Linked DNA regions of Xenopus tropicalis. The protein of the gene in region 1 interacts with the protein of each later gene in a biochemical or structural test. Links are inferred from orthologs where the notes say so. Each region holds a gene or a part of one and is shown on either strand. Other genes may lie near its edges.

Region 1 (4,212 bases):
CTTCATTTTTAAAGGCAAGCATTTTATTGATTGCTATAGGTTAATACTGCTGGGCAAACATAGTGCTTTTTATTACATACGGGGGTTTACTGAGCAAAACCAACTTTAGAAACTAGAATCATTGCTAGTTGCCAATTTGTTAGGGCACACAAGGAATACCAGGTAGGAGTACACAGGCCTGTTCATTGAGGAGGTTTGCAATTTTAGTTACTGTGGGATGCCTAACAATTTGGCATCCCCAATGATTTAGGTTCTGTTTAAAGGAGCAGTATATAGCTATGTTTTACAAAAGCAAAATTAATAGTAGTGGGATTCAAAACAAGATTGACTCCAGCCTGTGTTGGACTTTGGTTAAGGGCTCACCACACCAACCAGGACAAAGGTCTCACCATCAACCAATAACTTTAAATAAGCATCTCTGCTAACTGCCAGAACCCTTAATTTTATCAGCTGGAGTATTAACCATGTAACTTGTTTTTTAATTCTAAAAATAGTAAGAAATATCACAACCAACACATTCATACAGTCAGTCACTGACAGAGCAGCTGGCTGAATCCAGCATGACTGCAACAATTTGCAATCTAATACTCAAAAACAGAATGATCTCATTTACAGTGGGAAAAATTGGATTATTAAGCATGCTAATAAACATTTATATTTCAGAAACTATAAGAAAAAATGCTGAAACTGATGTTTCTGAAAAATAATAATAAAGCATTCACTGCTGTAATGCCCAAAAAGTAGTTTCCCTTAAAATGTATATAATCCTCACCTGCGACACTAATTAGCAAATCTTGTAAGGCATACCAATACAAAATGGAGTAACAACAGCACTCACAAATTGCTTTAAAGGAACAGTAACACCAAAAAATGAAAGTGTTTTAAAGTAACTGAAATATAAGGTACTGTTGCCCTGCAATGGTAAAACTGAGGTGTTTGCTTCAGGAACACTACTATAGTTAATAAATAAGCTGCTGTGTAGCCATGGGGGAAGCCATTCAAGGTGGAAAAAAGGAGAAAAGGCACAGGTTACATAGCAGATAACAGATAAGACACCATTGTATTCTACAGGGTTTATCTGTTAGCTGCTATAAAACCTGTGCCTTTTCTTCTTTTGAATGGATGCCCCCATGGCTACACACCAGATTTTATATAAACTCTAGTAATGTTTCTGAAGCAAACACACAACTTTTACCAGTGCAGGGCAGCAGTACATTATAGTTTAATTTCTTTAAAATATATACATTTTTTGGTGTTACTGTTCCTTTAAAGCCTTTTGATCAGATTTTATCTGTTGGATGTTGTCTTTTGTTCCTGCATCTACATCTGACAATCTTGGTGGATGCAGATGCACTGTGCAGCCTTCCCTTCCAATGGATGTGTCTTGTCAGATCTCAAATGTTCCAAATACTTTACACATCAGATTTTTCTATTAGTCACATAACATTTTAACCAACGCAACTACATCCAGCTTGTAAAATGCATTGCGTCAATCCAACACCATCCTACAAAGTCTCCCATGTAGATTATCTCTATGATTGCCATGACTAATTAGTGACATTTTATTTAATTTCAAATATCTTTGCAGTAATAAGTGTAGTAAAAGGTACTCTCATTTAAAAAAACAAAAAAAAAAAAACAAATAAAAAAATACCCCTAGACAGGGGTATGCAGAAATTTATATATGGAGAGAGGAAAAAGTGTAGAATAAGGGAAATTGTGTTGTATAAGAATAAAGCACTAGAGACTAACAAACCTAGTTTAATCAGTGCAGAAGCTATGGCAAATTATGGTCATTACAGAGACTTATTTACATGATTAAGAGGAAGATGGAGAGGCTGATGCATTCATAGGGAGAAAGATGAAAGAGAGAGATTCTGAGTGGGAAAAATGGAGCTAAGCATTTGATAAGACTTAGGGGCAGATTTATCAAAACACGAGTTCAAATCCCGAATGGGAAAAAGATTACAAATATCACGAAAAAATCGTATTAGTCATGATAATATTGTATTGGTGATCTGAAAGTCACGAAATTTTCGTACATAAAGATTGTAAACAGCGGCAAAGCCGAGCCGATTTTTTTGCACTAAAAAAAAGGAAAAGTCGCGCAAGGTACGAAAAAGTTGCAGAAAATACGATTGGACCGACCGATCGAATGAACGAACGAACGAACGAACGCTGGGAGCGTTCGTGGATAAGTAAATGTGCCCCTATGTTGCAGAGTAATGCATGTTATGAAAGAGATGTAGAAGCTGATATACTGGTGGAAAGAAATAACATGTCTGGTGTATTGGTAGGGAGAGAGATACAGAAGCTGATGTATTCCGTTGAAAGAGGGATGCAAAGTTGTGATTATGCAAAAAATCAGAGACTGCATTTAGGACTCAAGTTTATACACTGGGGAGAAAGTTTCTCCCCAGAAACAAATGGCCTGGGTGCATAGAGGCATAGACATTGTATAAATCTGACTATACTAAGCATTGAGTATGTTTGTAAAATCTTATTTTAACCATAATTAAATATCATTTTCATTATGTTGGTGATGATTAAATGGATGAAACAATTTTAATTATATATCTATCAATAATAAAAATGGCAACATTCCAAAAATGCCAGCATAAATAGAGAGGCTGTTGTGATATATGTGATTTTAGCTTAACCTTGCACAATATTTTCAATCTTTCTCTCTTTAAAAGAGAATACCAAGTTGTATACAATGTAACAAGACATGAGTAAGTAACAATGTATAAGAAAAAAAACTATAATAATACTTCTGGACACTTACCTATCTACAGAGCCTTCACTGAATGAAGAGTGCACAAATTCTGTACTGCCTTCACTGTGTAAGGATTTTTAACCCAGGATTTTGAACACAATAGAGCACCACGCCCACCAACACTTTTAATACCAGATGGTCTGGCAAAGAGGAAAAACTCTTTGTTCTGATATTAGAGAGTGGGGGAGGCCTAAACTGCACCTGTCTTTTGGGCTAGTTCTTGTCTAATGATAATACTGATATGAGAATGCTGATAATTTTAATCCTGAGTTCTATTATGGGATAGGAATGCAGAATGACTCTAATCCCTTGTACAGACAAGAGCAGAAATCATATTACATACACCTCATAGTTATAAGGGGGTGCCTGTATATAGAAATCTGTATCTGTGATTTACACTTCTTAATCATACACACCCCAAGCTTAGTTAAGAAAATGTTTCAAATCTTACTGGGAGCATGAATCTTTAACATGGTTATAGTTAAATTATCTTTAAAGGTTTAGACTCCTTTTCCAAAGAAACAGCAAAACATGCTAAAACACAAACTACAGGGCAGATATAATAAAACTGCTGGCAAGGAGAGTTCCACATGTGAATCATTCTCACGGATGAATTTCTAATTTTAAAATTGTTAAATTGTTCTTCAGCCATGTAGGGTATTGGAGTGCTATATTGTGCATTACTGGGGAGCAAGGGGATCAGAGGGAAAGATGCAAATTATAATAAACGGTGCTATTGTGTAACATGGTTGTGAAGAAAAACTATCCTATTACAAAAAGTTGGAAGAAGAGCTGTTCCATTACAAGGCATGGGAGGAGAAAAAGTTTTTTTCCATTACACTGCTGTAGCATTAGAGGGGTGTAAGGAGAGAAGCCATTCTCGTTCATTGCAGGTTTTTAAGGAAAAAATTGTGATGCTTTGTTGCAGAGGATTATAGGGTAGGAAAGCTATGCTTGTAGGAAAGAGTGCAGTGCCATAATAAAGCGGGAAAAAAAGATTTTCCAGGCAGTTTGAACTGAATGGGTATGTGTATTTTTTCAACATTCTCTACTATATAACTATATGAAGCTGCATGTTTCATTTTTCATTTCATGTTGTTTAAGAACACACTTAATGAAGCTGCATGTTTAATTTTTTGACATTACTGCTCCTTTAAACAACACTCTAATGCTGAATGAAAATGACACCAATCTGTTACCACTTCAGACCTGACATCAGCCATTGTCTCCAATGAAACAAGTTCAAATAGATTAGAATTTCTTGTGTACAAAGTAGTGTACGCAGCCCTGTAAAAACCAACAGCACCCAGTTCCATTTAATGCAATTTACCTTAGTTAGAGGTAGAACCTCTGTTTACTCCACAAGTTTACACCTCACACAAATGCCATAGTTCATTACACAGCTTTATATCTATGTTATAAATCATGGAGTACCA
Region 2 (4,267 bases), on another chromosome or scaffold:
GTGGGATAGCAGGTATAGTAGGGAGAGATGGTGCCTATAGTAGCAGTGGGGGGATAATAGCCTCTGGGAAGGGACTGTGGCTGTGGGATAGCAGGTATAGTAGGGAGAGATGGTGCCTATAGTAGCAGTGGGATAATAGCCTCTGGGAAGGGAATGTGGCTGTGGGATAACAGGTATAGTAGGGAGAGATGGTGCCTATAGTAGCAGTGGGATAATAGCCTCTGGGAAGGGACTGTGGCTGTGGGATAGCAGGTATAGTAGGGAGAGATGGTGCCTATAGTAGCAGTGGGGGATAATAGCCTCTGGGAAGGGACTGTGGCTGTGGGATAGCAGGTATAGTAGGAAGAGATGGTGCCTATAGCAGCAGTGGGGATAATAGCCTCTGGGAAGGGACTGGGGCTGTGGGATAGCAGGTATAGTAGGAAGAGATGGTGCCTATAGCAGCAGTGGGGATAATAGCCTCTGGGAAGGGACTGGGGCTGTGGGATAGCAGGTATAGTAGGGAGAGATGGTGCCTATAGTAGCAGTGGGGATAATAGTCTCTGGGAAGGGACTGGGGCTGTGGGATAGCAGGTATAGTAGGGAGAGGTGGTGCCTATAGTATTATCCTATAGTTTTCACACAATTTAATATATTCATTTTACTTTAGTTTTTGTTTTTCTTCCCTAGAACTTTAAGCCTATAGTATAGGACAGTGTCAGTCACAACACACAAAATCTTGTCACTGCTCCCTTTAGCAAGCTATGGGAAACATGCTGGCGGTGACCAGTAGCCTCGGCTCAGAGACACTTGCTTTAGCACCTGTCAGTAGTAGCAGTGTTTCTGTAGGCGAAAACATATGGCATTCCCTCTAAACTCTGAGAATGAATTCCAGCATTTTGTTTGTTTTGACACATTTAGAACTCTTTAAAGAACTCTTTTCAGTCGTGCAGTGAATTTATCTTTTAGCCAAGACGGGGGGTGAGGATGCAGCACAGACAGCTGGTACCAGGAACAGCATGAAATGTTATATATATGAAATAAAGGAAAAATATCCTATAGAAAAGGGTTTTTGCTCTCTGTTTTGTGAAAAGCAGCAGGGAGGGTGCAGGTCGGACAGCTCCTATGTATCTGACAGTTATTTCAGAATATAGAAATAAATGGACAGCATACAGTACAAAAGAATAAAATGGTTTTGAAGTGATGATATTTCCCTTATTGAATATGTTAGTACCAACCTGTGGCCTCCATCTCTGAAAAAGGAAATCTTTGGCCACACAGCTCCTGCTGGGTATATAAATAAATGCACTTGAAACCATGAGGTGGGCTCTTTTGTCTTCCCAAGGGGATGTCCTGGAAAGTGTCCATTGATAGGGGAAGGCTGACGTGTGGCTCAGGAGGAGCAAACAGTGCCGGGGGGGGGGGGGGGGGGGGGTATATAAACTGAGCCATCAGCTGTCACCAGTGTTGCACAATTGGCTCCTGGGCTCCTGACCAGCATCACTCACAATGGATGATATTTACAAAGCAGCGGTATGTGCTCAACTTTCTGCATTCTCTTTAACCTACTCCTTACAGCTGAAAGCTCGCTCATCAGCCCGTCTCCTGGGGCTCCTTCTGGGTTGGTGCTGATGCAGGGGTTGCAATATAGATCGGCATTTGTATACAACTTGTTCAGTTCCCTTGGTTTTAGGAAGGGTGAGATTCCTGTAAATATTAATATACTAAGTACACTGTGCACTGACCATATTGTTACAGGAATTACCTTTAACAATGAATTATGACTGCTCATATGGTCAAAGCACAATAACTTTAAAGGATTCTATCACCTTGTTATTATACTTTGTAGAGCTCCTTCAGCTGCATTACTGGGGATGTTCATTTACAAATGGGATTCAGATCCCAAATCAGATTCTGCTGCTGTTTGACTGCTGTCTATGGGAAATATTGTCAGTTGCTGCATATATTCATGTAAAATGGAAATGTACAGTATAACTATGAACATTTAAAATGTATTCTCTTAAACAGTGCTTAATGATGATACTTGTGTCACATGACTGGCTGAAACATGTATGTTATAATAATGTCCCCCAGAACTTCATGACCTGTATAATCTGTATGGTCATGGATCTCCTAGGTGTCTTTTAATATCCTGATAGTTTACAATTAGGGGTAAATCATTTTCTGTATAAACTTACACATTATCTGCAGTAACACAGGGAAGACATCTCTGAAATAGAAACTGTAAATGCCTTATTTTAATCAGATGAATAGAGATTTATGACAGGTTTAATTGTGTGCTAGATAATGAATAATATAGCATATGTAACATAGCATCATCTAGGGATTTGTGCAGGTCTGTAGGGCTCAGTAAGGACCTATACAACATCCCGCAGGGTACTGGTACTGGCCTAAACGCACAGGGGGCCAATGAAACTGTAGCAGCATCATTTTCCCATATAGCTGCATTCTGCATATTAATGGTCGGAGGATATTGAAATACCAAATGTCATTAATAGGGATGCACTGAATCTACTATTTTGGGACTTGGCTAAACCCTGAATCCTTCATGAAATTTTCAGCCGAATCCCGAACCAAATCCTAATTTCCATAGTCAAATGAGGCTAGGGATGGGACAAAGAGAACCGTGCTCACAGAGTGTGCCTAAAAACTTCATCTTTATGTGATGAAAAGTCACATGATATTAAGGATTTGAATTTGGCAAATGGATTTGGCCAAATCTGAATTGTGCTGAAAAACTCCAAATTTTGGTGGAATCCCGGACCGAATCCTCGATTCAGTGCATCCCTAGAGCTCATTACCAGGGGCAGGCTCAGACTGGCAATCTGTAGATTCTGGGAAATGCCAGAGGGGCTGCTGTAAGGTGCCATAGACAGTCACTATTTATTGGGCTGGTGGGGGCTGTTTGGGCTTCTGTGTACTTGAAATGCCAGTGCCTATTTTGTATCCCATTCCAGACCTGAACAGGAGTGTGAAAAATCATAGCCAGGCATAGTCTACAATGGGCCAGTATGAAATAATATACAGCATGTTTCATCATGTATAGAACCCTCTTGCAGAGTTGGTACCATGTAATGCCCCTAATGCAATGTTGAGTTTGAAGGGGAGTGTACAGTGTCCTACTATTGGAGATATCAGGAGATTTAGATGGAAGTACAGGTACTTTGCAGTAATTATATTACAGAGAATGAGCCACATTGCACTCACACTCACTGTCCTTCACTTCTCCTTGTCCTGCATATACCAGCTGCATGCACAGCACTCCAACGCCCCCCTGACCCACACATACACACTGACTTTATGGTGGGGCTATACAAACTCTACAGGGATAATGGGCATTTTGCCTGTCTATCTGTATATTCATTTGTTTGTTTAAATACTGCCCCTCCATCTACCAGAGCATCCATATATCTCTGTCTTTCTGTCCGTCTTTTCAAGGGTAAGATTTATTGAAAATATCTATTTGGGCTTAAGCTGACTGTACACTTATTAACGTACTTTCTGGCATGGTCACCAAATGAGCATATCTGTCTGTCTGATTTGGTCACTTACATGCCAGGCCAAATTGGGCTGATCTGATTGGCTGCACCAATGCACTAATTTGCCCTAAATTGCCTTGAATTTTCTAACCTGCCCACTATATATATGATCTTGGGGCTGCTGCCAGCTGAGGCCAATGCCGCCCCTCTCTCTCATTCCATGCTTACAATTCTAGCAGCAGAGTGGGTCTAGTGGGGCTGCATTGGTATGCAGTGCTATTACACTCTCTGCACTGGCAGAGCTGAATTTTCATTTTAAAACATGAAAATTCTGTTTTTAAAGTTACCAGAGGTGGCTTTTTGCCACCACTAGTAACTGGCTGCTTCCTGCCACCTAAGGCAAGGTTCTGACCCAGACCAATGAGCTGGTATCCTAGATGCCAGTCAGAGTAAGGTTTGGGGTGTCTTACTAACTATAACAAATACAAAAATGCTTTCATGTGTCAGCAAATTGTTATAGGCTAAAGAGAGTCGTTACCAAATGTTGGATATCAAAGTGGGGGCTTGAACTCCCCCCAAAGATCAAAAAGCCAGTGGCTTAACAGATAACCATAGTCTGAAATAGCCTATGGTTGCCGCCTGGCTAGTGTTTACCTGATTAGCTAGCAAATATCAGGCTTAAATGATAAAGAAAGGTTAATATATTGGGCTGTACCAATATGTTAGGTACCATCTAGTGTGTTAAAGGAACAGTAACACCAAAAAATGAAAGTGTATAAAAGTAACTA

What was found.
Region 2: the proteins of tnni1 (region 1) and tnnc1 are reported together in a solved structure, tested with the Homo sapiens proteins (2 studies listed by BioGRID, with this or other methods). The link is inferred for Xenopus tropicalis from reciprocal best matches to the Homo sapiens genes TNNI1 and TNNC1.

The regions. Positions count from the first base shown.
Region 1 is NC_030678.2:63,724,777-63,728,988, forward strand, and holds the start of tnni1 (troponin I, slow skeletal muscle), read right to left. Parts: upstream 2,801-4,212; 5' UTR 2,786-2,800; intron 1-2,785. UniProt on the Homo sapiens protein: Troponin I is the inhibitory subunit of troponin, the thin filament regulatory complex which confers calcium-sensitivity to striated muscle actomyosin ATPase activity.
Region 2 is NC_030680.2:128,884,748-128,889,014, forward strand, and holds the start of tnnc1 (troponin C, slow skeletal and cardiac muscles), read left to right. Parts: upstream 1-1,467; 5' UTR 1,468-1,488; coding exon 1,489-1,512; intron 1,513-4,267. UniProt on the Homo sapiens protein: Troponin is the central regulatory protein of striated muscle contraction. Tn consists of three components: Tn-I which is the inhibitor of actomyosin ATPase, Tn-T which contains the binding site for tropomyosin and Tn-C.